Oryctolagus cuniculus: one gene and its partners. The protein of the gene in region 1 interacts with the protein of each later gene in a pairwise test. Links are inferred from orthologs where the notes say so. Each region holds a gene or a part of one and is shown in the gene's direction. Other genes may lie near its edges. The genes, in order: HOMER3, EIF3D, MOS, PKN1, PAX6, USP2 and PSMA1.

Region 1 (4,413 bases):
GAGGTCAAGTTCTGAACTTGAGGCAGGGTCTCCGGCGGCTGTGCCCCCGAGGCATCACACTCTCGCTCGCCCTTGACCCCCAGGCGTCCAGCCAGTGCTGGGAGGACACGGGTTTGTCTCAGCTCTCGAGGTGCACTCAGGCCCGGGGGGGAGTCAGAGGTGGACACAGAGGTGAGGCTTTGAGGAGTGAATAGGAGTTTGCCAAGCGCTTAAAGTCTGGAAGCTGGACCAAATTGCTATGGCCGGGGGAGGGGGGACAGGGGAAAGAAAGGGGCAAGTGGGGGCCAGCACGGTGGCCCAGCCTCTCATACGAACACCGGGTTCGAGTCCTGGCTGCCCCACTTCTGATCCAGCTCCTGCTGATGCACCTGGGGAAGCAGTAGAAGATGGCTGGAGTCCTTGGGCCCCTGCACCCACATGGGAGCCCTGAGGGAGCTCCTGGCTTCAGCCCGGCCCGGCCCTGGTGTTGTGGTGGGGGCCCGAGTACCTGAGCCGGTGCCACCTGCTGCCCCCAGGGGGCTTGGCAGACACTGGGGCTCCTCTCTCTCTGAAAGCCTGCGTGGTGTCTGCTGCAGGTCCGGCTTGATCCAGGAGCAGGACAGAGCCACGCGGGAGGTGAACGGGAGCTGAACCCTGGCACGGACAGGCGCGGGACCCGGGAGGCTGGGCCCCTGCTTGGGCCGAAGGGAGCGCTCCAGGGAGGAGCAGAAGCCCCTCCCCAGACCCTCGGACCAGAGACATTAAAACAGGGGAGGGCTCTGGCTGGGGTGGGGGTGGGGCAGAGGCTCGGGGCAGCCCTTTCTCCTGTCTCCACCACTGGGGGACAGCCGGGTCTACACCACCTCCTCCCCTCCCCACCGCTCATTCCGGCCCTGCCAGCATCCACCCATTTCCCAGGGGTGAAAACTGAGGTCCACACCCAGGGAACCACGCCCACCCCCTCAAGCCCGGCTGTGACGGCTTCAGGTCAGGGCTGCTCAAGGCCAACCGGGTGCCAGCCCCTCCCAGAAGCTGGGAATGGGGTTCAGTGCAGCCACTCGGTGCTCGCTCACTCTCCCTCTCTCCCTCTCTCGCACACACAGACACCATTGCTTTCTGCCTACGCTAGGAACAAAGTCAGCTTGGGCCCCTGCCCAGCTGCTCTCCCCTCCCCCGCCCTGATACCCACGTGGGCAGCCGGCCCAGCACTCGGCACACCCGGGGTGGCTTCCAGGAGCCCCGGGCTTGCCAGAAACCGATTTAGTTATTAAAAAAAAAAAAATGATTTTGCTGGGCCTAAGGAAAGGTCGGTCTGTGGACAGAACAGACCCCGCTCCCGTGTTCCCGAGAGTTTGTGCCTCGGGCCCTCGGCTGGTGCAGCAGCAGCTGGGCCACCCCCGGAGGAGGGGCCCACGCGGGGTCACAAGGCGCTCGGGACGGTACGGAGGCCCCTGGGAAGCAATGGGGCCGTCGGGGGAGAGTCTCTTTCAAGCCTGGGAGAACCAAGGGAGGCTTCCTGGAGGAGGCGGACCACAGCGGAGCTGAGCCTCGGAGCCCAGGAACGGAGCGCGTCCGGGGTGGGGAGGCGTGGAGGCGGCCGGACCCTGGATCCACCCAACGTTCATTCGTGAAAGGTGGCCACCGGCTGCGCTGGGGGATTCTGGGTAGCGAGACACACGGGTGCCGGGGGCTGGGGGGGGGAGCCCCTGAGGCTGTGGGAAGATTCGGGGGTGGGGCCCAGAGCCCCGGGGACCCTTGGGCTGAGTTGTTGCAGGACCTGAACCCATGAACCCAAAACAGTGGCGGGGGGGGGGGGGGCATCCGGAGAAAGTCCCAGAGAAAGGCGTGTTGGGGGGGGAGGGGCAGGCCCTGCCCCCAGCAGCGTGGCCAGCGTGGGTCACTCCACCTGCGGGCCTGGGGTCCTCTCGGGGAGACCCAGGGGCCCAGGCAGGCAGCCCTGCCCCACCCACGTCTCCTCTTTTCGGTGGTAACCCCTATGGAGCACCTACTGTTTGCATCTCCTGGGCGCAGAATCCGCACCCAGCTCCTGAGCCCCGCCCGGCTGCCCCCCCAGCCCAGGCCCGAGGGCGAGAGCCCCCCACCCCCCTCCAGCTCTGCGCATCCGCCTCCTGTCCCTGTCCGGACGTCCGTCTCCGTCCGTCTCTCCATCCCCACCCCTCCCCCGCCCCCTCCCCCGCCCGCCGTCGGGGGCCAGCAGGGGGCGCAGCGGGGCGGCCTCGGCGGCCCGGGGAGGCGGGGCGGGCGGCGGCCGCGTCGGGACCGGCCGCGATGGGACCGGAGGCGGCGCGGACGGCGGCGGCGCAGACAAAGGCGCGGGCGGCGCGTTGGGCGGCGCGGAGGGCGCGGGCCCCGGAGGCTGGGAGCGAGCGGGGCGCAGACCCGGCAGGGTGAGCCCGGCCGGCCGATCCTGCGCCCGGAGCGCGGGGGGCCTCGGAGTCCCCGGGCCCGGGCGGAGGTTGGGGGGAGGGGGGAAGCCGCGGGGCGATCCCCAAGTTCCGGACCTGGGGACTGGGGCGGGGGGCGGCGCGAGGGGGCGGTCCCCGAAGTTCTAGATCTGGGCTTGGAGAGGCGGCCGAGGCGGGGGAGGGTCCCCGAAGTTCCGAAGTCGGGGGCCGGGAGGGGACGGCTGGGCACGCGAGGTGCCCGACGTTCCGCACCCGGCGTCGGAGGAGGCTGCGCGCGCGGGGTGGGGGGATCCCCGACTTTCCGAGGTCCGCGTCAGCAGGGTGTCCCCGAAGTTCCGCGCCGGGCGGTGGGGGTGGCAGGGAAGGTGGCCCCCGGAGTCGCGGACCTGGGGCTCTCGCGGGGATCTCCGACGTCCCGAGGTGGGGGCGCGCCCGGGGTGTCCCCTACCCCCGGCGGATGAGTCCGGGGCGCATAGGGTGTGGGGCCTCTGCCCCGGGCCCCCGGGAGGTGGCGAACCCCCACCCCCACCCCGCGGCGGGAGCCCGGGCGCGCTCGGCGGCGTCCTGGACGCGTGACCCGTGGGTGAGTAACTTGTCCCAACGCCCCAGTCTCGGCGGGGGCGGGCCCGGGGCCGGAAGGGCACCTCTGCGCCCCCCTAATCCTGCCGCGCCCGGGACCCGCCCCTGGCCGCCGCTCCCCCTGCCGGTGGGGAGGGGCTCCGTGTTCTGAGCCTCGGACCCCCCCCCCCCCACAGCAGCCTGTGGGAAGGGGCATCGCGGCCTCTGATCTCGGAGGTCCCCCGCAGGTGCAGGTCTGGGGGTCCTGGGGGCAGCTTCCTGGGGGTGGCGGCTAAGGGAAGCAACAGGGAGACTGGGGGACCCTCTTCTGCCCCCTCCTGGATCCTGCCCTGCCCCCACCCTGGAGGGCACCTGCGTTGGATGGGGGGGTGGGTCCCTGGGGATTTGGACTCTGTCTTTAAGGTGCGCCGGTGCCCCAGGGTGACTGCGGGGGGGGGAGGGGTACTCTCTGGGAGTTCGGTCGGGAGCTGGTCTCCGGGCACCTGGCAGCGCCCCACATTTTGGCGGAAGGGCCCTGGTTTGGAGACGGATGGGTGCTGGCAGGTCGGGAGCATAGCCCCAGGATGGAGGGGGGACTGTGGGGGGGGTCTGGTACCCAGGGCCAGGTTGGGATGTCAGGAGTCCCCGAGCACCGGGTTTTGTGGGCGCTGCCCCCGGACAGGGGAGGATGGGACCCCTTTGCTCCCGTTCTGCACTTTCCTGGTTGAAGGTCTGTGCACCTGCTGGTGGCTCGCCTCACCCTGGCACAGGGGGCACTCAGAGGCCCCTCCCCTCTCTACAGGGGCCAAACCAGCAGCTCCGGCCACCCAGCCCGGTCTGACCAATGTCCACAGCCAGGTGAGCGCCCAGCTGCCCTGACCCTGAGCCCAGCCCCCCCGGGGGGGCACCCAGCACACCCCTACCCCCCACTAAGCACGCTCTGCCCGCGCAGGGAGCAGCCCATCTTCAGCACTCGGGCACACGTGTTCCAGATCGACCCGGCCACCAAGCGGAACTGGATTCCCGCGGGCAAGCATGCGCTCACCGTGTCCTACTTCTACGATGCCACCCGAAACGTCTACCGGATCATTAGCATCGGAGGCGCCAAGGTGGGGGGTGTGGTCCTGGGGCTGGTCCCCCCACCTTGCCGTGTGCCGCGGGGCATGGGAACCCCCCCCACTGACCCCTGCGAGGTCAAATGGGGGAGAGTTTTCAAGGTCACCATTGCTAGCGCCTGTCAACTTTGCCCCCACCCCACCCCCAGGCCGTCATCAACAGCACCGTCACCCCCAACATGACCTTCACCAAAACCTCGCAGAAGTTCGGGCAGTGGGCGGACAGCCGCGCCAACACCGTCTACGGCCTCGGCTTTGCCTCGGAGCAACATCTAACCCAGGTGCGCCTGGGCCTCTGTTTTCCCAGGCTGCAGAATGGGCGCGCAGAATGAGTC
Region 2 (3,720 bases), on another chromosome or scaffold:
GGAGTTCCAGGCTCCTGCCTTCTGCCCGGCCCCGCCCTGTGGTTGAGGGCTTTGGGCGCATGAACCGGGGGATGGCAGGCCTGTCACCCTGCCCTTCAAGTAAACCTTTGATGGGGAACAGGTAGCACGAGGAGGCTGGGCGCAGGGGTTGCGTTTGCCCCGCTCTGTGGGGGCAGGGGCAGAGCCCACAGAGAGCACATCCCCCCGTAGAGCTCACTGCTCTCCGTCTCCGTGCCTCAGCCTCTGGGTCAGGCCTCGGCGGGCTTGGCGCCGCCCTTACCCTGTCTGTCCGCCTCTCCCACAGCGAGTGCTGCGGGGCCCTGGAATATTACGACAAGGCCTTCGACCGCATCACCACGCGGAGCGAGAAGCCACTGCGCAGCATCAAGCGCATCTTCCACACGGTCACCACCACGGACGACCCCGTGATCCGCAAGGTCTGCCCCCGCCCCGCCCTCCCCGCTGGGATCACGGCCGAGCCCCGGGGCCGGCTGAGAGCGGCACGTTTGTGTGTGTGGTTGGAACTGTTACGTAAGTCTTGGAGTCAGACTGACGGTTAGATGGGAACAAGGCCAAGGGCGGCCGGGGCGTAGATGAGTGTGGACAGTGCCTGACCCGGATCCCAGCCCTGCCGGGCCGCCTGGATTCAGCTCCGCAGCCTTAGTTTGCTCATCTGTGAAAGGGGTTTAGTGTACGCGGCCGTGCCGTGGGGAGCAGGGCGAGCCACCAGGGACCACTCGCCACAGTCTGCGGGGGCTCAGCCACGGTCCTGGTGACGCTGCTAACGGACGCTCCAGCTGCTAGGCTGCAGCCCTCTCGGGCACCCGGGGAGGCGTAGGGACGAGAAAGGCAGGGGCCGTGCGGCGAGCAGAGGCGGGAGTGGGCAGCTGGACCGGGGGTGTCTCGTCCTTGCAGCTGGCTAAGACCCAGGGGAACGTGTTCGCCACTGACGCCATCCTGGCCACGCTGATGAGCTGCACGCGCTCCGTGTACTCCTGGGACATCGTGGTCCAGAGAGTCGGGTCCAAGCTCTTCTTCGACAAGCGGGACAACTCTGACTTTGGTGAGGGGCTTTTCAAGGCACAGCCCGAAGGCCTGGGGGAGGTGTGGTCACAGTGGGCGTCTCAGGGTGTGCACGGTGTGTGCTGGTCACAGCGGGCCAGCCAACACGTCCCCTTCTGCGGTCTCCCTCTGCTGTGCACCGCTGGGGACTCCTTCTGTCCGGCCGTGAGTCGCTCGCCAAGCCTTGGGTGGCTTTGTTGACGGAGAATAAGCCCCACGTTGGAGAGCCGTAGGAAAGTGTCTGCCTCCCCCAGGTGTGGATGGCACCACACTCTGCTTCCAGACTATGTGCACTTTGTATTTCTGATTAAATGGAAGGCCCCCTGGTTGTTTTTTGCTGCAGTGAGTTTACCAAGGAAACAATACAATATATTTATTTGATGTGTAAATATGGATACACACACAGCCACAATGAAAACCAGGCCACTCAGAAGATAAAAGAGAATAATGGTGGTTGGTTGGTTTGTTTGTTTGTTTGTTTGTTTGTTTTAACAGCCAGTTAGTGAGAAAGAAACAGAGAGAAAGGTCTTCCTTCCGTGGGTTCATCCCCCAAATGGCCGCTACGGCCGGCGCTGCGCCAATCCAAAGCCATGAGCCAGGTACTTCTGGTCTCCCCTGCGGGTGCAGGGCCCAAGCACTTTGGCCATCCTCCACTGCACTCCCGGGCCACAGCAGAGAGCTGGCCTGGAAGAAGAGCAACCGGGACAGACTCCGGCGCCCCAGCCGGGACTAGAGCCCCGGGGTGCTGGCACCTAGCCTAGTGAGCCGGAGCGCAGGCTGGAATAATGGTGCTCTAAGCTTGAAGCCTGAGGCCGTTTCTTTGTTGAAAGGCTGACAGAATCAAGTATTCTGAAGTTACCCAAGTGTGTCACACAGTGGCTGGCTGTCCCATGAAGGGAGGGCCTGTGTCCTGGGACTGTCCACATTGCTGGGGGCTCTTGCCAGGGTGGGTGACCACGCTGCCATTTCCGCAGACCTGCTGACCGTGAGCGAGACAGCCAATGAGCCCCCGCAGGATGAAGGCAACTCCTTCAACTCGCCCCGCAACCTGGCCATGGAAGCGACATACATCAACCACAACTTCTCCCAGCAGTGCCTGAGAATGGTGAGCAGACAGGCGTGAGCTGACGGCAGCTTCGCTGCCACCGATTGCACCTGCTTCAGACTGGGCTCTGGGGTTATGGGATTGTAGGGGACAGGTGTGGTCCGTGCCTGTGGCCGAGGAGTTTTGGACTTGGGCTTTGAAGTCAGACTTTCTGGCTTTGAACCCTGGATTCCTCTACTTAATAGCTAGCTTGTGGCCTTGGCGTGTTTCCTCCCTGTAAAACTATAACACACGAGTTCTTTAACAAGTTTGTGGAAAATGGATTGAAAAGGTGTTTGTTTTGGTGCCAACAAAAATTTGAAAATGATGCATCTTCAACACATTTTCCACGAATGTTTTGAAGACTCCTTTTGTGTGGACTTCAGTTTTTTGCACAGAATAAACTTACCTTTTAATTCCATTCTCCAGACTTGTGAAGTCCCCTCGTTCTAGCACTTGTCTGACAGACATGACACTGCTCTAGGCGGTGGGACCAGCCGAGCCCTCCCTTGGGAGCGGAGCGGAGGGGCGCGGACGCTGGCTAGGAGCCGTGCTGTGGGGGTAGCACGGGACTGGCGCGTCGGAACTCAGTGCCGGCGTCGGGAGGGTGAGGGAACAGCAGGCCTGACGCCTGTCTGGCCTCCTGCAGGGGAAGGAGCGGTACAACTTCCCCAACCCAAACCCGTTCGTGGAGGACGACATGGACAAGAACGAGATCGCCTCCGTTGCGTACCGGTAGGCGCCTCTCGGGGGCGCGAGCTCCTGGCGGGAGGTGGGGCGAGGGCCGGGCCGGGACCCAGCACTGCTCCGTCCTTGCAGCTACCGCAGGTGGAAGCTGGGGGACGACATTGACCTCATCGTGCGCTGTGAGCACGACGGGGTCATGACCGGAGCCAACGGGGAAGTGTCCTTCATCAACATCAAGACCCTCAACGAGTGGGATTCCAGGGTGAGCCCCAGCTGGAGGAGCCGCCTCCTTCCGTCACCTTGACTCTGTCTGGTTTTCGTGCTTTGAGCTTTCCCTCCGCTTAGCGCCTCACTGAGCAGGAGCGTGGGCGTGTAGAACGCACTGCTTCAGCAGCCTCCGCCAAGCAGCAGCCCCCTTCCCCTGGTCTGTCCTCATCCCCGCTCCATCCTGACCCCTGTTGGCGTCCACCGTGTGCGTGTCCGGCTCCCGCCCCGCCTGTCGTCCAGGCCGGTGGTCTCCCTGCAGGCCCAGCCGCCTGTGCTGGACTCGGACGCTCGCTCAGCATCACAGGAAGCTGCTTCCCTCACGTCCTCCCTCGTGCTGGCGCGGTGCTGTTGGGCCGTGGGTGGACTGCGGGGGCGGCAGGGCTCCGGGCTGCTGTGCGGGACGGAGGCCCATCGGCAGGAAGCCCGAAGGCCCAGCTCTGCTGTTAGGTCTTCTATCCACTGCTTCACTCCCCAAATGGCTGCAATGGCTAGACCGATCTGAAGCCAGGAGCTTCTTCCGGGTCTCCCACACGGGTGCGGGGTTCCAGGCACTTGGGCCACCTGCTGCTGCCCTCCCGGGCCAGAGCAGACAGCTGGGTCGGAAGAGGAGCAGCCGGGAC
Region 3 (3,120 bases), on another chromosome or scaffold:
GAGAGAGGTCCTCCATCCAGTGGTTCACTCCCCAAATGGCCATGTCAATCGGAAGCCGGAGCCAGGAGCCTCCTCCAGGTCTCCTATGAAGGTGCAGGGGCCCAAGGACTTGGGCCAACCTTTATTGCTTTCCCAAGCCATAGCAGAGAGCTGGTTCGGAAGAGGAGCAGCTGGGACTCGAACCTGTGTCCATATGGGATGTTGGCAAAGCAGGTGGTGGCTTTACCCACTACGCCACAGTGCCAGCCCTCCTAGTTTCCTACATGAAAATATTGAGGCTCAAACAGGTTAACTATTATACACAGGATTGCATGCTAAGCCACACAGGGAGCATAGAATGGAAATCCTTTTTCTTTTCTAGGACCCCACAGACATCAAATTGCTTATGTCAGTGGTTTGTATTTACTTACTTCTCAGAACCAGTATACTTCAGAAGCATATAACTGTCATTAAAATGTGTTTCTGAGTCACCTATGTGTTTATTGATGCTTTAAAATATGGAAACGTTACCATTCGAGTATTTACAAATGTAGATGCTACATTATTAGGTGTCTTCAACAAATGGGGTAATATCGTTCTTTTTTTCCAAAGATGTGAATGTTAATTTGTGTTATAAGAACCAGAAAGAAAGAATTCATGGTTTCTTGTGCCATTTTTATTTTTTCAGATTTTTCCACTTCTATAATTCCCCCATCTCTGTGATTATTTAAAGCTCTGACCATGGCTCAGAATCACTTTTGCTTTTCCCTCTCCCCTAATTCCGCTTCAGTACTTCAGCTCATTTGCTGCCGAGTCTTATGTGTGAGTTTGCCAGGTGAATCCAATTGCTGTGGAAAGGAAGGATGGTTAGGAAGTCAATGTGACGTTAAGGAGTCTTGCTAATCTGCTGTGTAAGCTGAATGGAGAGACAGAGAATTCTTTTCCTTGATGAATCGAGGAGGTACGTGTTTTGACCTCTGTGTGTTTCTATTTGGAGTGATTCCTTTAAGGTTGCAATTTAGTTAGCTACATGAATGTTGCACCTAATTATCTCTGAAACAGGTTAAACAAACCTCTGCTGTTCCTTGCTCAACTCTTGCAGCCAATAACTGCTGGAAGTGATTTAATGCAGCTGGAGAGTAACCCTCACAATCATTATAGCCTGCAAAGTGTGAAACAATTACATCGTATTTTTGTGATCTCTTTGGTCCAAGAACGTGCATTGGACCAGAGTTGAAAAAAAAAAAAAAAGCCTCTTCCTATGAAAGATCGCTGTGTAAGTAGGGTGAGTTTTGGGACAAACTAGTGCTGTTTATCCGAGGAGAGCTTATTTTGACGAGAATTCACTTTAAGTGTGGAAGGAAAAACTCTCTGCCTGCCCGGCATCTGATAGACCCTTGCTGAGCGAGAAGCGCAGATGTAGCTCATTTGGAGAAGACGAAGGAAGAGGAGAAAAAGGAATGGGGTGGTGTGAAGGAGTGGTCCTTCATGTTTCCGAACTCCTGCGGTTTTTCCTGATCTTTACACTCACCTTGGCCTGGGGCTCTCTTTAGGGAGCGCGTACCATGCCCTCGCCTCTCGTCCTGCGCCGCTGCCTTGCTGCCAGCGAGTTGTCCCCGTCGGTGGACTCGCGGCCGTGCAGCAGTCCTTCGGAGCTCCCCGGGAAGACGGGGAAGCTCTTCCTGGGGGCCACTCCTCCTCGGGCCCCTCGGCTGCCTCGCCGTCTGGCCTGGTGCTCCATCGACTGGGAGCAGGTGTGCTTGCTACGGAGGTTGGGAGCCGGAGGGTTTGGCTCTGTGTACAAGGCGACTTACCGTGGCGTCCCTGTGGCCATAAAGCAAGTGAACAGGTGCACCAAGAACCTACGAGCATCCCAGCGGAGTTTCTGGGCTGAGCTGAACATTGCAAGGCTACGCCATGACAACATCGTGCGAGTGGTGGCTGCCAGCACGCGCACGCCCGCAGGCTCTAACAGCCTAGGGACCATCATCATGGAGTTTGGCGGCGACGTCACATTGCACCAAGTCATCTACGGGGCTCCTGGCCTGGCTGCGGAGGAGTCGGAGGCGCCCCACCATGGCACTGGGGAGCAGTTAAGTTTGGGCAAGTGTCTGCAGTACTCCCTAGATGTCGTCAACGGTCTGCTTTTCCTTCACTCACAAAGCATTGTGCACCTGGACCTGAAGCCCGCGAACATTTTGATCAGCGAGCGAGATGTCTGTAAGATTGGTGATTTCGGTTGTTCGGAGAGGCTGGAAGATCAGAGGTGCTGTCCCCCTTACCACCTGGGAGGCACATACACGCACAGAGCCCCCGAGATCCTGAAAGGAGAGGCTGCCACGCCCAAGGCCGACATCTACTCTTTTGCCATCACGCTCTGGCAGATGGCCACCAAGGAGGTGCCCTACTCCGGGGAGCGTCAGTACGTGCTGTACGCAGTGGTGGCCTACAACCTCCGCCCGTCTCTCTGTGCGGCTGTCTTCAGGGACACTGTGCCCGGACAAAGGCTTGGGGACATCATTGAGAGCGGCTGGAGGGCCAGTGCTTTGCAGAGGCCCAGTGCGGACCGCCTGCTGGTGGACCTTAAATCCTTAACCACGGAGTTCACCTGACTCCCGACCCGTTTCAAGATAAGCTTTTGTCTTTATTTCTATCTACTTTTAAGGAAGTGGAGATGTAGAAGAAAACATATTCGTAGCATGGATTTTTTAAAAAAAAAAAATAAAGTTACTGCAAACTTGAGTCTCAAATGCCTTTTCTTTGACAAATGGCAAAAGCTACGTGTTTAGTGTTGTTGCTAACTTACCTCATACTTTATATAGTTTTCTCTCCATAGGTCCAGTGCTTATTTGAACTATTCCATATGTTCAAATTTGTTGATAAATAACATATATATTCCATATATTCAAATTTGTTATTGATAAAAATATTTTGTCTAAAACAGGATTCCATTGCAGAAATGCTACAATTTTCTGAAATTCACACCATATGGTCCATCTCTACCACCTACATCCAAACTATTAACAGATCACTTACAAATCAGGTTATATACCAGATCAGTAAAATATTTTTTTAAATGCTTTCTTTCTTAAATTCGAGGGATTGGGAGGATGAAAAAAGAGAGCGAGAGAGAATGCTCCC
Region 4 (4,305 bases), about 2.8 Mb from region 1:
GGTGGGGGCCGCAGCCCCGGGGGCCGCCGGGAGCCCCGCCCCCGGCCCCGCCCCCTCCCCGGGCGCCGACCTCGGCGGTCACGTGACCGAGCCGGCCGCTGGGGCCGGAGGGCGCGGCGCGCGCGGACGCGGCGGCGGCCTGGCCAGGCGGGGCCGGAGCCGAGCAGGCCGGAGCGGGCCGCGCGCCGGGGCAGGGTCGCGCCGCTCCCGCCCCCTGCCCGCCCCGCCCGTGGCGCACGCGCGCTCCGCTCGCCGCCCCTCCCTCCGCGCGGGGACCCCTGGCGGGCGGCAGGAGGACATGGCCAGCGACGCCGTGCAGGTAGGCGCACCTGCGTCCGCAGGCGCGGGGCGAGCGGACGGCGCCGCCGGGGACCCCCGGCCGCACGCTGCCGGGCACGCCGGGAGCCGGGCGGCGAGGGCGGGGGCCTCCCGAGCGCCCGGCGCCCCCTCCCCGGGCTGGGACCGTGGAGCCAGCACGGCCCCCTTCTCTGCAGGTGAAGGTACGGACTGGGCGGCCGGGGACGGGTGGGCTGGGGTACGGTCTGGAGGCCCTCGCAGCATCCCCAAACTCAGCGCCTCCCCGGGAATCTGAGGGAGCGCGTTCGAGGTGGTCCTTGGGGCGGGGGCGTCTCTGGCTGGATGTGTGACCCCCTTCTTTTCGACTCCATCCTCCTTACTCACCCCCCACCCCCGCCTCCCCAGCGTTCGGTTTCTGGCAGGTGCCGCTCGCTCCACCTGGGACAGGTGCCTGGCCCGGTGCCCCGGGAGGGGGGTGGAGGCCGCCCGGCCCGTGCCCCTCCCCCGCGCTGCCACCTCCGCCTCGGGACGGAGCTAATTTACCGTGGTCCGGACGCCACCCAGATTGGCACCTGTTGGCGGAAGTGTCCGAGTCACCTCATTAGGTCCGGGGTGGGAGGAGACCGGGGTGGGGGGCGCGGCTGGGGACCCCCTCGCACACCGCTTGGATTGCCAGGTAGACCTTAGGTCGGACAGGGCGCGGGAGTTTGGGGGAGTGTCCAAGTGGACCATTCCGGGATGTTCCTGTGGTCCCTTAGGGAACCCCTGCCCCCCCCAAACCTCCACGGAGACACATGGTTGGCCTCAGCTGGCCACTCAGCCCTCCCTATTCTCCTTGTGCCCCTTAGGGGGGCCATATTGCTCCCAGACTCACCTGTAACCAGGGGGACCTGGGCCATCGCGGAGTTCAGTGACCCAAATCTGATCCGTGGCTGTGTCTCACCTTGCAGTCCGCCGCCCTGTGTGTGTGTCGTGTGTGTAACCAGGTTCTCTCCTCTGCACCTGCTCCCCACCCCCACCCCCTCCGTGTCTCCCCTGTGCCCAGCACCCTCAGTCCTGTTGATGGCCTGCCAGCCTTGCCAAGGAGCTGGGCGTATCTGGTGTTGCCGTGCACACAAGGTCAGACCTCGGGCGCCGGGATGGGCCGGGGTCCCTGCCTGCCCCCCAGGCCCGGGGAGGAGACCCCTGGCGCCTGCATGCGCTTTGCCGAGCACCACGTAGGACCCACACGGAGGCTGTGGTTCCGGAATGAGGCTGGACCCGTGCCCTGGTTCCCCCTTCTCCCTTCCCTCCCTGCCTCCCTCCCTCCTGGTCCATCGCTTTCTCGTGGCTGCCGGGATGGGGGGATGGGGGGGCGCTGCTGCCCTGTCCCTCTGTCCCCAGCGCCGACGTGTGCCTGTCTGTTCTGTGTCCGGCCGACGGATGTCCTGTCTAGATTCCGGAAACACCCAAGGCATTGAAATCTCCGGACAAGGGGGGCGGGGGGGGGGCGCGGCATGGGGGTCTAGGTCCCTGGCTGCTTTGGGAAGAGGGGCATTCTGGGAGGTGGGCCGTCTGGGTCTGGGGTCTTCCTGCTCCGTGGTGGGAGGTTGGAGGAGCAGGGACTCTCCAACACCAGGCGGGGCCCCTGATGGCTGGGTTTGCTTGGCTGGCTCTCTGGTCACCTCTCACCCCCGGGTAAAAGTGAGTCACCCCCAGCAGGGAGGCCCCGGGAGGCCGGCAGCCCTCGCCCTGGATCTCAGCTCTCAGCTGTTGGAGGAGGAGCTGCCCCACCCCTCTGCCTGGGCGGTCCTGCTCCTGGCTGTGTCTGCTCATGCCTGCTGGGGACTGGTGGGGCTTGGCGGTGGGAGGGGTGGGCGGGGCCTGGTTGAGCCCGGGGTGGCCCTAGGTAAGCCTAGATTTAAATTCCAGTGCGTTTGTGGGGAAGCCGCCTGGCTGTGAAATCCTGGTGGGTTCATGACCTTTGAACCCCGGAGCTTCTTGGAAGGAGAGGGGTTGGAAGGGGCCCAAGCATTTAGCATGCTGATGTTTGGGGCTGGGTGGTTCTTGGTGGGTGCTGTCCCGTGCCAGATGGGACATCGGGGTGGGGGTGGGGGCATGGGTAGGAAATGCCCCCTCCACTGAGGACCACCCTGTGGAGTGAGTAGAATAAGGGCCCTGCTCAGGGTCAAGATTATTTGAAATGAGAGACAGAGATCTTCCATCTGCTGGTTCACTCCCCAAATGCCTGCAACGGCCGGGACGGGGTCAGACCAAAGCCAGGAGCCTGGAGCTCCATCCGGGTCTCCCACATGGGTGGCAGGGACTCAAGGACTTGAGCCACCACCTGCTGCCTCCCAGACACCATAGCGGGGAGCTGGCTTGGCAGCACAGAGCGACTGGGACTCCTCTATATGGGATGCAGATGCTGCACCTTATAACACCTACCCCTGGAGAATTCTTGCTTTAAATCCTGGCCCTGCCTCCTGCTGGCGGTAGGACCTTGGTGGGGGCCCTTTGGGCCTCAGTTATGCGCTCTTGTAAATGGGCTGATAATGGCACCCAGCTCATGCACTTGTGTTAGCTGCCCTTGGTGAGGTTTGCAGCAACTGCTGGTCCTCGTAGCTGAACTCGAGTGTTAATGTGTGCTCAGGGTGTGGTTTGTGGGCTGCTGGCCTGGGGACGTTCGTGTCCCAGCCCCACCCCCCCCCCATGCTGTTTCATGAGGTCAGGCTCAGGGAGCCGCTTCTGGGCCCACCCAGCGCCCTAAGCCTCTAAGCTGTGGTCAGCAGCCGCTGGCCGGCCAGCCAGAGAGGAAGCAGGAAGCTGGGCGGTCTCTGTGGAGGAAGAGGCGGGGTGGGGGGACTGCCTAGCAGACGCGCTGTCCTGACCCTGAAGGGGAAGTTGGGGACAGGGGGTGCGTGGGAGGGTCCGGCCACAGGGACATGTTCAGGTCACAAAGGTTGGAGGCCTTGGAGTTGTGCCATGGAGACCTGCAGGGGCGCCTGCGTGTGGGAGCATGTGGGTTGTGTGCACTTGGGCACGGGGTGTATGTGTGCGTGCGTGTGTGTGTGTGTGTGTGTGCACTGGGTCGGTTCTGGAATGACCCGAGCAGCACTCACCGGTGTATGCATGTCCGCAGGCAGGCAGGCAGGCCTGGGGGTGTGCACAGCCCAGGAGCCTCTGCAGATGTGGGAGTGTGCACCCCTAGGAGCCCGTGTCCAGGCACACCTCTGCAGGTGTGGGAGTGAGCACCCCTAGGAGCCCGTGTCCCAGGCACACCTCTGCAGGTGTGGGAGTGTGTGCGCACCCCTAGGAGCCTGTGTCCAGGCACACCTCTGCAGGTGTGGGAGTGAGCACCCCTAGGAGCCCTGTCCCAGGCACACCTCTGCAGGTGTGGGAGTGTGTGCACCCCTAGGAGCCCGTGTCCCAGGTACACCTCTGCAGGTGTGGGAGTGAGCACCCCTAGGAGCCCGTGTCCAGGCACACCTCTGCAGGTGTGGGAGTGTGCACCCCTAGGAGCCCGTGTCCAGGCACACCTCTGCAGGTGTGGGAGTGAGCACCCCTAGGAGCCCTGTCCCAGGCACACCTCTGCAGGTGTGGGAGTGCGCACCCCTAGGAGCCCGTGTCCCAGGCACACCTCTGCAGGTGTGGGAGTGTGCACCCCTAGGAGCCTGTGTCCAGGCACACCTCTGCAGGTGTGGGAGTGTGCACCCCTAGGAGCCCGTGTCCCAGGCACACCTCTGCAGGTGTGGGAGTGTGCACCCCTAGGAGCCCGTGTCCCAGGCACACCTCTGCAGGTGTGGGAGTGTGTCTAGGCACACCTCTGCAGGTGTGGGAGTGAGCACCCCTAGGAGCCCGTGTCCCAGGCACACCTCTGCAGGTGTGGGAGTGTGTGTGCACCCCTAGGAGCCCGTGTCCCAGGCACACCTCTGCAGGTGTGGGAGTGTGTGTGCACCCCTAGGAGCCCGTGTCCCAGGCACATCTCTGCAGGTGTGGGAGTGTGCACCCCTAGGAGCCCGTGTCCCA
Region 5 (4,215 bases), on another chromosome or scaffold:
GGGAGGCTTTTCCCTTTGTGAGCTGGGGAGTTGTTGGTGCGTTCGGTTGGAAGCTGTGTTGCTGGTTAGGGAGACTCGGTTTTGCTCTTTGGGTTCGGGAGAGCCAGAGAATAGAAGCCATTGTTCGCTGTCTGTCGGCTTTGTCGGCCACGCTCACCCCCTCCTGTTCGTACTTTTTAGAGCAGTGAGGCGAGGTAGACAGCGTGTGTCACAGTACAGTAAAAGGGGGGAAGATCTAAATGCCAAAAGAGAAGTTAATCACAGTAAGTGAGGTTTAGGGGAAAAAGTTGGGCTTGCCACTTTTCAAAGTCCCCGAGGGGCCAGGAGCCAGATGGAGAGGGGTCTGGCTGGGGAGCTTCTGTGTGTTTGGGTGGGGGTGGGGGGCAAAGGAAAAAGAATAACCAGAGAGTTGGGTTGAGGGGAGCTGGGGTGCTGAAATTCCACAAGGAAGAGGGGAGTGTGGCCCTGCAGCCCTCCCAGAATGCTCCAGCTTGTACCCTCAGGCACTGCGAGGTCCACCGAGGTCCCTTTCCCTGCACCTCCAAACTTCAGGAATCATGCTCTCCACCTCCACCCTACCCCCCAAGTTCCTGGCCTTCACTGCTTCCTCTGTTTTCCCCTTCCTCTTCTCTTGGTTCTTTATATTTTTGGCCAAGGGGGACCCCCAGCTTCTCGGATTCTCCATCTCCCCCAATCCAGGACAGAGCACCCTTTTCCAAAAAGGTGGGGACTTGTGTGGGAGAGGCTGCTGGAATTGTAGGTGTGAGGCTGGGGCTGAGTGTGTCTTGGCAGTTCCCTGAGTCCTCGGCGCCGGCTCTTCCCGGAGGGTGGGGTTCGAGATTCCCCGCACCTCCGCGTTGGAACTACTGTAACCTACCCTTCTCTCCCTCTGTTTTGTCTTAGGGGGAAGACTTTAACTAGGGGCGTGCAGATGTGTGAGGCCTTTTATTGCAAGAGTGGACAGACATCCTTGATATCAGGCAAGTTTTTCCGAGACTGCTTTGGGCTTCAAAACCTGAAGCAGTCCAACTCATAATGCTTCTTCATTATGGTTCAGATGGAAGAAAACAAATTCAAAATTGGGTCATCATTTCTCTGATTAAAGGGTTAACTACTAAAGGATTTAGGGGAAACAGATTGAGAATGTTAGAGTGTTTTATTTGAAGCCCCAAAGTTAGCTTTCGCAAGCACTGGAGGGCAGAGCCGAGTGACCCTCCAATCGCCCCCAAGCTGCTCCAGGGATCAGTTCCTAAAGGAGTGTTCTGTCCTGGCCCCAGGCCCTGCCCTGTTGGGAGTCCAGGCCTACCTGGTGCAGCAGCCCGGGATTAACTCCAATTTTCTTGCTAACAGAGCCCCCAAATTCGAGCCCCGTGGGATCCTGCGGCCCCCAGCCAACGCCAGCATGCAGAACAGTAAGTGCCTCTCGTTTTCTCGGGCCTGGGGCTAGGGACGCGTGGTGCTGCGGGTTGGGGTAGGGCACAGGGGCTGGCAGTGGCCGCGCTGGCCAGGTCGCCTGGCAGGGGTAAAAGGCCGGTGATCTGCAGTGACTGCGGCCCACTCGGCATCCAGCAGCCGGCGAACGGAGGGCGTTTGCTTTGCGGTTCCCGATCCTGGAGGAGCAGGGGCTGCGCCCTCCAGCACAGCCCGCCCGAGTTTTTGAAGCTGCGGTAGAGAAACCCCATCCCCCCCAAATCCTGTAACTCACACCCCCCTCCCCGCCCCTGCCCGGGCTCTGACCCCGGGGAGAGGGGTTGGGCTGAGCAGGGCGGGGCGAAGGCGTCTCCTGGTTGCACTGGGGAGAAGGAGGCCCCTTTGGGCTTAGCAGAGGCTGAATGCTCCGACCGGGCGGGGTAGGGGGCTTCCCTCCCCCAGTCACTCTCAGGGCAGGCAGCTCCTCCCCTCCCCACCCCAACTACGGGCCTAGAAGGGAAAGGGCGCGGAGCACCCCAGCCCGCCCGCAGCGGGGTGGGGGCGGTGAGCGGCGCTGTGGGAGCTGCTCCCGGCTGCAGGAGAGAGCAAGGTCTGCGGAGAGGGTGAAGGCTGCGCCCAGACGTTGCAACAGCTGCAACTGCCCGGGCCGGGTTGTCGCGGGCCTGTAGTGCTCGGTTCTTGTGCCAGGGCTCTTGTGCCTCCCTTCTTTGCTCTGCCCAGGTCCTGTGGGCCCCCACCCGCCCTCGTGCCCAGGTGCTAGGTGCCTTCGTACGGCAGGGCTAGACCAGAGCTACAGCCTAGAGGCCGAATGAAACCAGGGCGGGCAGGGGTTCACCGCAATCTGTACGCGGCTTAAGGGCTCGAAGCGTGGAAGGGCCTAGATCTTCCAGCAACCTGCTCTTGCCGAACCGCGAGGGCTCCGAAGGGTCCTCGGCGCCCAGCCCATGTGTTCCGGAGGCGCCGGTCGCCCCCTGGTGCTGCTGGGGCTGGTGGAACAGGAGGCTCAGAATAGGCACAGGGGCGGCAAGCGACACGGCAGATTTGCGCAGACCCTGCCACACTCGGAGGCCTGACCCGGGAGGCACCCACCTTGGCGAGGCGAATGCCTTTGGCCACCCCAACGTGCGGCTGGCTTCCCTGCCCCTGGAGTTGAAGCTCCTCAGCCCGCAGTTCCCCGGGTGGACCCCGCCGGCGCACGCAGCGCTGAGCGATTGCCCCCGCGGCCTGGCTGGCGGGCCCCGAGGGGCGCGGGGTCGCGGGCCGGCCCGCGGGGCTTTGTGCCGCTCGTTCCCGGGTGTGCGCGAGGCGCGGAGCATCCAAATTGACACCATATGTTTTCCTATTAGATGCTTCGCGGTCGAATTCGAGGCGCATAATCATCGCCACTGGGCGAGAGCGCCAGCCGTCCCTAGGGAAGGGACACAATGATTGAGGCTTAACCTCTGAAGGGGAATTTAGAGTTGCGCTTCCTCGCTGCCATTTCGATGCTGGCAGAGGCGCCCTGGCCCCGGCGAATCCTGGGCGAGCACCCGCGGGCCGTAGCTGCGGAGGTAGCATGCCTTTTTTTTTTTTTTTTGGTCTTTTTTTTTTTTTTCTTTTTTGGTGGTGTTTGCGGTGAGCTGACAAGGGGTGAGGGCTAGCATGCTCCGGCCAGTACTTGAACTTTGGAAAGTCTCTTCTCTGCCTCTTCCGGACAGCCTTGCTTCCCGCCCCCCCCAAGGCCCCCTTGGCACAGACGCGGGGCTCAGTGAGGCGCAGCGGTGGAACAGACTTGGGAGGCACGGGAAAGCAATAAAGGGAATTTGGGAGAAACCGGAAGCACGGCTAGGCCTGGCTGTGTAGGAGAAGCAGTGTCCCCGCAGCGTCCCCGCCTGCGCTGGGCCCGGCCGGAGCCCAGATCCCCCAGACGCCTGTCACTTCTCATCGAGTTGAGGCTCCAGCCCCCCCCTTGGTGAGCAACCTCCCCCTCAACCACCTCAGCCCCAAGCCCTGGGCTACCCTGAAAACGCGGCTCCCCTCGAAGGGGAAACTAGTGCAGTTCAATCTCGTCTGAGTGATCTACAAATAGGGACGGAAAGGGTCGTTTTATCACGGTCCCGTTTGTCGTGACGATGCAATTTCCCGGAGCGGAGCACTGTCACAAAGTGACAAGGCTGCCACAAGCGCCCCGACTGATCTTTTCAATTAGCCTTCCATGCATGATCCGGAGCGACTTCCGCCTATTTCCAGAAATTAAGCTCAAACTTGACGTGCAGCTAGTTTTATTTTAAAGACAAATGTCAGAGAGGCTCATCATATTTTCCCCCCTCTTCTATATTTGGAGCTTATTTATTGCTAAGAAGCTCAGGCTCCTGGAGTCAATTTATCAGCAGGCTCCAAGGAGGAGAGAGGAGAGAGGAGAGCGAGCAGGGAGCCACGTCTTCTCCTGGGAAGGCTGCTCTCTAGAGTCGGGGCTGCAGGTTGGAGATTTTTAAGGAAGTGAAAGTCGGGGGTTGGCGTTGTTTGTGTGTCGGCGGTTTCTGGGGAGGGGGCTCACGCGGGGTGCTGACTCCTTCTGCTTGCTCTGTGAGGCTGCACTTGGGGGTTGAGACGGTGAGATGCACAGATGAAGGGCGGATGGCCTTTTCCTTTTCTGTTTCTGGATTTTTTTTTTCTCTAATGTCTGTCCCTGGCTGTGGGGAGGGCGGAGTTCAGCGGCGGAAGTCAGGCGAGCAGTGACGGCTCCGAGCCCCACTCGCGAGGCCCGGCTGCTCTGGGGTAGGAGCCGAGAAGCGGTGCTGACCC
Region 6 (4,231 bases), on another chromosome or scaffold:
CTCTCTCTCTCTCTCTGCCTCTGCCTCTCTGTAGCTCTGCCTTTCAAATACATACATACATACATAAAAAAGCATAGGTGCACATGGATACTTGTGTTTTTAAAAAATGGGGGGGGGCATCTTCTTCACAGCTCCTGGCGCAGAGGGAAGAATGAATTCAGGTATGTTTGCAGGTAGAAACTTAGGTCTCCACATCCTGTTTGCACCTAGTTTCTCCAGGAAACAGAGGAGGAGGAGGGTTTGAGGGGTGTGCAGATGGGTGAAGTCACCTGCTATGGAGAAGGTACTCATTGTTGGTCCCAGTGAGGTTGAAAATCTGATCTTGCCCTGGCACCAGTCCACTTGGTCCTCACAAGCACGTGGAGAGGGGAGGCAGGTCAAAAGTGCAAGTGCTTGGGCCGGAGTTGTGGTGCAGCAGGTTAGGCCACAGCCTGCAAAGCTGGCATCCTGTACAGACACAGGTTCATGTCCCAGCTGCTCCACTTCCAATCCAGCTCCCTGCTAGTGGCCTGGGAAAAACAGCATTAGAGGGCCCAACTGCTTGGGCCCCTGCACCCAGGTGGGGGACCCAGAAGAAGCTCCTGGCCTCAGCCTGGCCCAGCCACAGCCGCTGTGACCATTTGGGGAGTGAGCCAGCAGATGGAAGATTTCTCTTGCCTCTCTCCGTAACTCTGACTTAAAAATAAAACAATTTTTAAAAAAATTCAAGTTCTTCGATGACGAAGGAGAATTCCTTCCATAGTCTCTGTTTATGCAATCGGGTAGTCATCAATACTCACCAATCCATGGAAGTAAACGGAGCAGGGAGCTCCTATAGGAGCAGGCCAAAGGAGTGGAGGCCTAGGCTGAGGACTTCCCCCAGCCCGGTGGAAAGGGGCAGTGACATTCAGCGGTTCCTAAAAACTGAAAGTGGATCCGCCCGGGGCTCAAGTTCCCAGGCTCCCTCCGCCCCCGGCCCCTCCGCTTTCCCAGTACCTTCCAGCTGCCCCGCCGCGTCGCATCCACCCCACTTCTGTCCTTGCTCCACCCACTGCAAACTGGCGTGCTTTCCTTCCACGTGGTACTCTGTGTACGTCGGTTGCCCGGGAGACCCTGGCCGGGCGGGGAGGGGATGACGTCACAATAGAGACGAGCCAATCGCCGTGAGACGCGGGGCGTGGCTCTGCCAGCCTGGGTGCAATGAGGTGGCTGCCCGCTGGGTGGCGCCGATTTCCCGGGGAGGTCCTTCCAGGGCCCCCGGCGGAGGTGGGGGAGAGGCGGGCAGGAGCCGAGGCCAGGGAGCCCTCTGCGTCAGCTGCTGCTCACTGCACCGCGCCTGTACCAGCCGGGACTCACCCGCAGCTCCATGCTTGTGCCGGGTTCGACTCGTCCATCCTCCGAGAAGAGGCAGGTACGTGCCACCTGTCGGAGATCGGGAACAGGGGGTGCGGAGGTCAGTTGCCGGTTTCAGGTTCCGAAGGTGAGAGGTCAGCGTCAGCCTGGGCACCAGAAATGTAGGGCGAGGGCCAGCTGAGCGGGGGAGCTCCAGCGGCGGGCGCCCGCGTGCGAGGGGGGCTGCCAGCTGGCAGCCCGTGGTGCCAGGAAGAGCCATCTGTGTACGGATCGGTGTGTTCCGAGAAGCGCAGCTCCCGCGGGCCGGGGGCCTGAGCCTCACCGCCTGGACGCCGACGGCCCCCTCCCCACGCGTGCGCGCAGCTCGCCAAGCTCGCGACGGCTGTCTGTGGTCAGTTTGCCAGAAGCGGGGGAGGGGGGTGTTGGGGGAGGGTAGCAGTTACGCGGAATGGGAGAATTTCCACCAATCCCAAATCAGAAAGAGGCATCTTTGAAATCCTCACCAATCCCAACCCAGACGCCGGCACGCGGTGCTCCGGGGCACGCAACTTCTAGTCTGGAGCCCAGGGAAGCCAGCCCAGGACGACCCATTCTAGCTCCCCGCGGAGGAGTGGGCGCTCCACCTCCCAGGCCCGCTGCTTTCGGAGCGGGACCAAGATGGAGCTGGAGGCAAGGGCTGCTGCCCTCGCCTCGCGCGTCAGGGGCGCGAGAACAGCCCCGGGGAAGCGCGGCTGCCCCCTCCCCTTTGATGCCGCACACACGTGCCAGGCTGCAGTTGGAATGAGGACCGGAATGACAGCCCGGGCGCGGGCGGCCTGGGAAGTGCATCAGCAGGTCGAGGGCTGAGTCAGTAGCCCGTGCTGAGACGGGGCGGAGGCACAGCCTGGGGAACTCGCCGCGCTCTGGGACAGCCAGCGAGAAACTACCCGGGAGCAGACAGGTGCACCAAGAACTCTCCTCCTCCTTCCTGCGACCCTGTGCGGCCCGGCCCCGAGGCCCTGGAATCCTGAGCTCTGGAACAGGTAGAGTGGGAGCCCCCAGCAGGGTCAGGCAGGGGGGGAAGGGTCCCAGATGGGCTGACTCCCCCCCCCTCCCCGTGTTGGAGAGGACATTTAGAAAGATGCTCTTCCCACTGATGGGCCAGGCACCTGTTCAGAGCCCTGTGGCACTCTGGTGTTGGAGAGGGTGCCCACGTCCCCTTCCCAGGAAGATTCGCGGGGTGAGGTGCTGCTCTAGTACAGCCGCTAAGCTACAGGAACCAAGGCAAGTGTTCGGTTTAACCGTCATGGGTTGGAGTCTTCTATAGGCCAGGAAATGTCACAAAGATTAATCCATGCTCACAACTGTGAGATGTACCCCTATTATTATTATTTTCTTTTATTATTATTCCTCCTGTATAAGCTAACAAGGAGCCCAGGCCCAGCGAGCACAGTGATTGCTCACTGTCTCAGATCCAGTGGGAAGGAGCTAGAATGCAAGCCCAGGCCGAGGCGTCCATGCTGAAAGCGTATGGAGCTGAAGCCTGGGTGCTGGCCGCTGTGCCCCGAGACCCACTCCTTCTCCCAGTTAAAGGAGCTGGGCTGGCCCCGAGGCCTCTCCCCTCTTTGCCCCTGTGGTGGACAGATCCAGAGCCTCTGCCTTTGCCCCCACCCCTCTGCCCTCTTTCCTGTCCTGTTTCCTCCTGACACCCACTCCCCTACCCCACCCCTCCGTCCCCCCTTCCACACGCGCCCCTCCCCAGAGGCCCAGCGGCTCTCTTAGGCTGGCACTGGCCAGGTGGGGCAGTGGCGGAGGGTGGGCCTGCTACTGTCCCTTTAATTCTCTCGGGGCTTGGAATCCAAGTGAGTTGCTGCCGTCTCAGGGAGGTCAGATAAGATACTATATATATCAGCCGGAACCCGAGCCCCGGATTACCCAGCCTCCTGGCTCGGGCTCTCCGCCTCCACTGGGTTCCCTGCCCTGCCCGGGAAGGAGAAGCCCCCAGGCTCCGCCAGCTCCCCCAGCACAGGTCAGTCGTGTGCCTCTGGTGTCTGCGTTTCTGTCCTCCAGACGTCCAGGGGTCTGGGGTAGCCTGTGGTTCGAGGCTGCCCACCCGGCCTGTGGGAGCCATGGGTGGGAGCTGAGGACTGAGGAAAGAGCGATCCCTGGAGGACAGAGTGGGAGATGGAGACGCTCCCTGGGGAGGGTCTGGGCAGATCACGCCTGAAGAGGGAATATATGGGCACCAGCGCTGCCTGCAGGTCCCGTTCTTTGCCACCTCTTGGAAGTAGAGGGATGCCCACCCCCTCCCAACCCCAAATCAAGACGCACCCTAGAAGGCAGTGCTCTGAGCCCTCCCACTTCTTCTCCACCAGTCAGGAGTCTCCCCCTAATCTCCAATCTCTATCACCCCTCCCCCATCCCTGAGCCCCTGCACAGCCCCCTAGAGACCAGAGGGACCCAGATTCCCCTGGATGGTCCCTTGCTGAGGCAGGGGCCCGGCGGTGCTAGCACAAGACAGACAGAGCTGCCACGAACAGGCAGGCGGGGAGGGGGCAGGTGGCCACCCCAGGGCAGGAGTGGAGCAGGCAGAGTTCCCGGACTGTGGGCCCCGCCCCCACCCTCTACCCGCATCCTCCACTCCTGCCAGGGTTGACACTTGTGCCCTGACTTTAGCAGGCGGCCAGCGCAGCGAGGGGTACGGGTCAGAGAGTGTCAGCTAGGGGCCCCCTCTCACCTCCCCCCTGCCCTTCAGGGGTCAGCGCATTCTGATGCTGTTAGCAAGCAGCTTTGGGAAGCTCTGAGGTCACCCCTGCGGAGGTGACACTGACTGGGACTCCCCGCTCACCTGCCCTGGGCACCCGGGTAGCAGGAAGGCACCTTTCACCGTGTGCCGGTGTGCTCTGAAACAGCTCTCGGC
Region 7 (4,239 bases), on another chromosome or scaffold:
GAATTCATCATAAGGAGGTAATCAGGAAAGTACACCAAATAATGTATAATCATCATTATGGTATTTTTATAATAGCAAAAATTTGGAAAGAATCTAATTGCTCACCAATAGTAAGGTAAATTATCTCATTTCCACACAATAGAACACTATACAACTACTGAAAATATAATAGACATTTCATAAATATTTCAGAAATATTTATGAAAACAAAATGGCTATAACTTTTTAATAGTATTAAAAATAGTTTAATATAATTTTATATGTAAAAGAACTGACAGATTTGTATGCAACACATAACCATAAATATGTTACATGACAATTTTTAAATGGGCATTTAGTCACTCATTCAACATTCTTTATTCCCTTCGCCAATATTTATTAAGCACTTCATACATGCTAGGAATGTGTACATCAAAAAGATGAACTATTAATTTAATCTGTTACTTTAAAAATGACAATAACCATTGTTGCAAATTTGAGGGGGGCAACCCCATATACTACAGTTGAGGACCTAACAGTAAAACTTTTCTAAAAGCCAATTTAGCTCTTTTCATGAAAAGCCTTAAAATTATACATTTCATTTGAACCTGTAATTCCATTTCCTAGAACTGACTCAAAAGAAAAGAATATGGATGTTAAACATATATAGGAAACAGTTCGTGAGTTATTTGGAAGGACCTAAATATCAAACAATAGGGATCTGGGTAAATATATGTTCAGAATGCAGAATACCAGGGCATCTTTGTTTGACCTGCAAAATGTTGAAGACAAGAAAGCGTTCAAACACATACATGCAAAGGTTTCTAAACAGTGTGATTCTACACTGCTGCGAACCTGACCACACCACCTGAGCCAGTTCTTGTACATGCAAAACTCTCATCCCGAAGGGATGCTTTCAGCTCCAATGTCACCTTAATCTAGGCACTCACCTCTTCTTTAAAAAGAGAATTACCAGTTGGTAGGTGTTATTGGCAGCTATGCTCAGAGCTGTCTCAAACTAGTTCATTTGGGGATTTGCCAGAAGATCCTTTCGAAAAGAAAATAGATAATTCAGAAGAAAAAGTCCTTTTATTCTCAGCGGCCTAATCTAATCTATCGGGTGTCTGCTTGGTTCTGAGGGCATGGAAAGACAGTAGTTCAAAGTCCGGAGGAGGAAAACAACAGTGATAAAAAATGAAGGGCTGCTGGTATCAGGGTCTTCGAAGAAGAGATTTAAGGAAGGCAGAGGATTCATAAGTGCAAAGCAAAGAACGCACACCAGCAAGATACTCGAGGAAGAGTATGGCTGACACACATAAACAGGCGTTATTCTGTGGCCTTTCCTGAAGCCTCGTTCTTCTCAGACACACACAGCTCAAATCTCTGAGGACGATGAACCTGAGACTCCAGGACGGGCTACGAGCTGCTGTTTAGCCACTGCCTGCACTCCGGGGCCTACGTTTCCCGCCAATCTCAGTTCCTCCTTCTCCCAGGGCCCCGCCCACGCAGGAGGGCGCGAGGAAGCGCTGGAAACCTATCGATAGCTCCGGAATAGACTGATCTACCCTGCGCTGCCGCCGTCAAAACCCCGCAGCCTTTTCTGTAGATCGCCGAGCGGTAGTTTCGGCTGCGTTCCTTACTCCGCACCTTCGCTAGGAGTCCTGCAGCCAGGCCGGCGACGGAACCATGGTGCGTTGGGTCCCGATCCTTCGAAGGTTTAGGGCAGAGGTCCCAGTGACTTGGGGATGGCGAACCAATTCTCCTGCCGTTCTTAGAGCGGCCCGAGGCCACGGGGCATGGGAACCCCAGTCTGCGGGAGGGCTCCGGCAGTGATTCAGCATCTCCGGCCTGGCCTGGCGAGCTGCGGTCGGTAGCCGGTGCAGCCTTTTCCTCACGGCGCATTTCGCTATTCTCAAGGCCTCGATGAAGTGGTCGAGTCCGCCTCTCGAGTTCCCTCACCGGAGTAGATTCCCAGAGGTCCAAAACGATCCCTCGTGCTCTGGACGATAGAGAGACGGGACTTGACTCGGAGGCGGCCTTGTACCGCCGGGGCGGTCTAGACCCAGGGTGTGTGTCCTTAGATCGCGTCCCTTTCCTTGGTGGGTCCGTCCGACTTATCAGCCCCCTAGGGCGCGATCAGAAAAGGTCTCTTTCACTTTGTCCAGTCACCTGATTGCAAATGAGTGAACTTATCCTGAAAGGGGAAATGATGGACTCAGGATTATAATGTAGTTCTGTGGGCTTCAAGTCCCACGCCAAAGAGTCCAGCGTTCAGTCCGCTCTCCCCTGTGATTGTTCTGCCAAGTAGTGAAAGGCCTTTTTGAAGATTGTCTAAAACAGTAGTGTATCGTAGTTATTCGTATCTAGCCCAAAGTAACAAAGAAAAATTTTATGTGTACAAAAGTGCAAGTACAGGGGAGGCTCAAAGATAATCAGACATATCCCTAACCTTAATTTTAAGATAGAAAAGGATGTGTACAGAGCTGTGGGACTTCGTGCTGTGAGGGTTTTGGGAGAAGAATTCAAGAGATAGACATTTGAGCTCATTTAAAGAAAAAGTTTGATGCATATAAACTTCAATAGTTGAACCCAAAGGGAGCGCTATGGAGAGTGGCTGGGTAGAAAGTTGGAAAGATGAGACCCATTTAGAGCTGTTCCTTCCTCCCCAGCTCATAGAAATTGTAGACTTGGCTTGCCACTGAGTATAGTAGTAATCTTCCAGTGAGTTTGCCTTAACAGTTACTTTAATGTGTAATGAAATCACACATTTCTTAATATTAAGAGGAGGGTTCTGACAATAATTTGATCTTTTTTTTTACTTTCAGTTTCGTAACCAGTATGACAATGATGTCACTGTTTGGAGTCCTCAGGTAAGATAATGTTTCATACTATTCCATTCAAGAGCTTTTTCATGGCTGCAATATGTTTAGAAGGTTGTGTGATTGTAGACTGTGAGAAAATGGGATATATTCATTTTAGACACTCCCATAACTTAAATTTATAATTCAATACATTTTCTGGTTTTAAAAAAAGTCATTTGAGATTTAACAGTGCTCTTGAGGTTTGAGGACTCTTAATTCTTAATTTGTGAAACTCTTCTAAGGTGACTCTAAGACATGTGTTTTTTTTCCCTTTAGGGCAGGATTCATCAAATTGAATATGCAATGGAAGCTGTTAAGCAAGGTTCAGCCACAGTTGGTCTGAAATCAAAAACCCATGCAGTGTTGGTTGCATTGAAGGTAAATAAAGCAATAAATATATCTTCCTTTAGAAAGCAAAATTATCAAATGAAAATTTCACTGTGTAGGCAGTAAAGTTTTAAACTTATTTTTATCTTTTATGATGTCTATTTAGAGGGCACAGTCAGAGCTTGCAGCTCATCAGAAAAAAATTCTCCATGTTGACAACCATATTGGTATTTCAATTGCGGGGCTTACTGCTGATGCTAGGCTGTTATGGTGAGTATGATTTTGAAAAACAAACATCTCTGATTCATAATATTTTTTAAAGATTTATTTTATTTATCTGAAAGAGTTACAGAGAGAGGTAGAGACAAAAAGAGAAGTCTTCCATCTGTTGGTTCACTAGTCAAATGGACACAACAGCCAGAGCTGAGCCAATCTGAAGCCAGGATCCAGGAGCTTCTCCCACATGGGTGTAGGGGCCCAAGGACCTGGGCCATTGTCTGCTGCTTTCCCAGGCCATAGCAGAGAGCTGGACTGGAAGTGGGGCAGCCAGAACTTGAACCAGTGCCCATATGGGATGCCAGCACTGCAGGCCAGGGCCTTAACTCACTGCACCACAGCACTGGCCCCTGACTCATAATTGTTTACTTATCATGAAAAGACTGAGGTAAACTATGTTGGGAAGTTGTCTGCCAGAATGTTTATAAGTTAATATTATGACTATCTTAATGGATTGGGTTAGTTTCTGAATATTCCATATCCTGGTTCTTGTAATAGTAACTAATAGAATTCAACATACTGGTACTAAGACTTGAGAAGTCATCAAATAATGTGATAACTTAAAGTAACATGTGTTGTTTGAGACTCTGTTATGTCTAAGAAACACTTGACACTTTTGTATCATTTTTAAGAATGAGCTATACCACCTTTGCTTTTTTCGTCTTTTTTTTTTTTTTTTTTTAAGATTGATTGATTGATTGATTGGTTTGAAAGGCAGAGAGAAAGAAGTCTTCCATCGCTGGTTCATTCCCCAAATGGCTGCAATGGCCAAAGCTGAGCCGATCCAAAGCCAGGA

Evidence for each region.
Region 2: the proteins of HOMER3 (region 1) and EIF3D interact in binary tests that used the Homo sapiens proteins (3 or more experiments, as listed by UniProt). The two-hybrid records come from large-scale screens. The link is inferred for Oryctolagus cuniculus from reciprocal best matches to the Homo sapiens genes HOMER3 and EIF3D.
Region 3: the proteins of HOMER3 (region 1) and MOS interact in binary tests that used the Homo sapiens proteins (3 or more experiments, as listed by UniProt). The two-hybrid records come from large-scale screens. The link is inferred for Oryctolagus cuniculus from reciprocal best matches to the Homo sapiens genes HOMER3 and MOS.
Region 4: the proteins of HOMER3 (region 1) and PKN1 interact in binary tests that used the Homo sapiens proteins (3 or more experiments, as listed by UniProt). The two-hybrid records come from large-scale screens. The link is inferred for Oryctolagus cuniculus from reciprocal best matches to the Homo sapiens genes HOMER3 and PKN1.
Region 5: the proteins of HOMER3 (region 1) and PAX6 interact in binary tests that used the Homo sapiens proteins (3 or more experiments, as listed by UniProt). The link is inferred for Oryctolagus cuniculus from reciprocal best matches to the Homo sapiens genes HOMER3 and PAX6.
Region 6: the proteins of HOMER3 (region 1) and USP2 interact in binary tests that used the Homo sapiens proteins (3 or more experiments, as listed by UniProt). The two-hybrid records come from large-scale screens. The link is inferred for Oryctolagus cuniculus from reciprocal best matches to the Homo sapiens genes HOMER3 and USP2.
Region 7: the proteins of HOMER3 (region 1) and PSMA1 interact in binary tests that used the Homo sapiens proteins (3 or more experiments, as listed by UniProt). The two-hybrid records come from large-scale screens. The link is inferred for Oryctolagus cuniculus from reciprocal best matches to the Homo sapiens genes HOMER3 and PSMA1.

What each region holds. Positions count from the first base shown.
Region 1 is NC_091447.1:65,895,530-65,899,942, reverse strand, and holds the start of HOMER3 (homer protein homolog 3), read left to right. Parts: upstream 1-1,471; 5' UTR 1,472-1,613; intron 1,614-2,233; exon of another isoform or gene 2,234-2,387; intron 2,388-2,552; exon of another isoform or gene 2,553-2,988; intron 2,989-3,765; 5' UTR 3,766-3,807; coding exon 3,808-3,821; intron 3,822-3,915; coding exon 3,916-4,072; intron 4,073-4,227; coding exon 4,228-4,359; intron 4,360-4,413. UniProt on the Homo sapiens protein: Postsynaptic density scaffolding protein. Binds and cross-links cytoplasmic regions of GRM1, GRM5, ITPR1, DNM3, RYR1, RYR2, SHANK1 and SHANK3.
Region 2 is NC_091442.1:113,759,810-113,763,529, reverse strand, and holds part of EIF3D (eukaryotic translation initiation factor 3 subunit D), read left to right. Parts: intron 1-304; coding exon 305-437; intron 438-915; coding exon 916-1,063; intron 1,064-2,036; coding exon 2,037-2,167; intron 2,168-2,795; coding exon 2,796-2,881; intron 2,882-2,965; coding exon 2,966-3,095; intron 3,096-3,720. UniProt on the Homo sapiens protein: mRNA cap-binding component of the eukaryotic translation initiation factor 3 (eIF-3) complex, a complex required for several steps in the initiation of protein synthesis of a specialized repertoire of mRNAs.
Region 3 is NC_091437.1:81,358,673-81,361,792, reverse strand, and holds MOS (proto-oncogene serine/threonine-protein kinase mos), read left to right. Parts: upstream 1-1,544; coding exon 1,545-2,591; 3' UTR 2,592-2,596; downstream 2,597-3,120.
Region 4 is NC_091447.1:63,092,102-63,096,406, forward strand, and holds the start of PKN1 (serine/threonine-protein kinase N1), read left to right. Parts: upstream 1-1,344; 5' UTR 1,345-1,359; coding exon 1,360-1,416; exon of another isoform or gene 1,417-1,699; intron 1,700-4,305. UniProt on the Homo sapiens protein: PKC-related serine/threonine-protein kinase involved in various processes such as regulation of the intermediate filaments of the actin cytoskeleton, cell migration, tumor cell invasion and transcription regulation.
Region 5 is NC_091432.1:34,172,576-34,176,790, forward strand, and holds the start of PAX6 (paired box protein Pax-6), read left to right. Parts: upstream 1-1,402; coding exon 1,403-1,412; intron 1,413-3,014; exon of another isoform or gene 3,015-3,382; intron 3,383-3,418; exon of another isoform or gene 3,419-3,890; intron 3,891-4,215. UniProt on the Homo sapiens protein: Transcription factor with important functions in the development of the eye, nose, central nervous system and pancreas. Required for the differentiation of pancreatic islet alpha cells.
Region 6 is NC_091432.1:110,941,711-110,945,941, forward strand, and holds the start of USP2 (ubiquitin carboxyl-terminal hydrolase 2), read left to right. Parts: upstream 1-1,250; 5' UTR 1,251-1,390; intron 1,391-1,854; exon of another isoform or gene 1,855-2,354; intron 2,355-3,180; exon of another isoform or gene 3,181-3,340; intron 3,341-4,231. UniProt on the Homo sapiens protein: Hydrolase that deubiquitinates polyubiquitinated target proteins such as MDM2, MDM4 and CCND1. Isoform 1 and isoform 4 possess both ubiquitin-specific peptidase and isopeptidase activities.
Region 7 is NC_091432.1:51,702,967-51,707,205, forward strand, and holds the start of PSMA1 (proteasome subunit alpha type-1), read left to right. Parts: upstream 1-1,271; 5' UTR 1,272-1,665; coding exon 1,666-1,668; intron 1,669-1,810; exon of another isoform or gene 1,811-2,046; intron 2,047-2,804; coding exon 2,805-2,849; intron 2,850-3,116; coding exon 3,117-3,218; intron 3,219-3,333; coding exon 3,334-3,437; intron 3,438-4,239. UniProt on the Homo sapiens protein: Component of the 20S core proteasome complex involved in the proteolytic degradation of most intracellular proteins. This complex plays numerous essential roles within the cell by associating with different regulatory particles.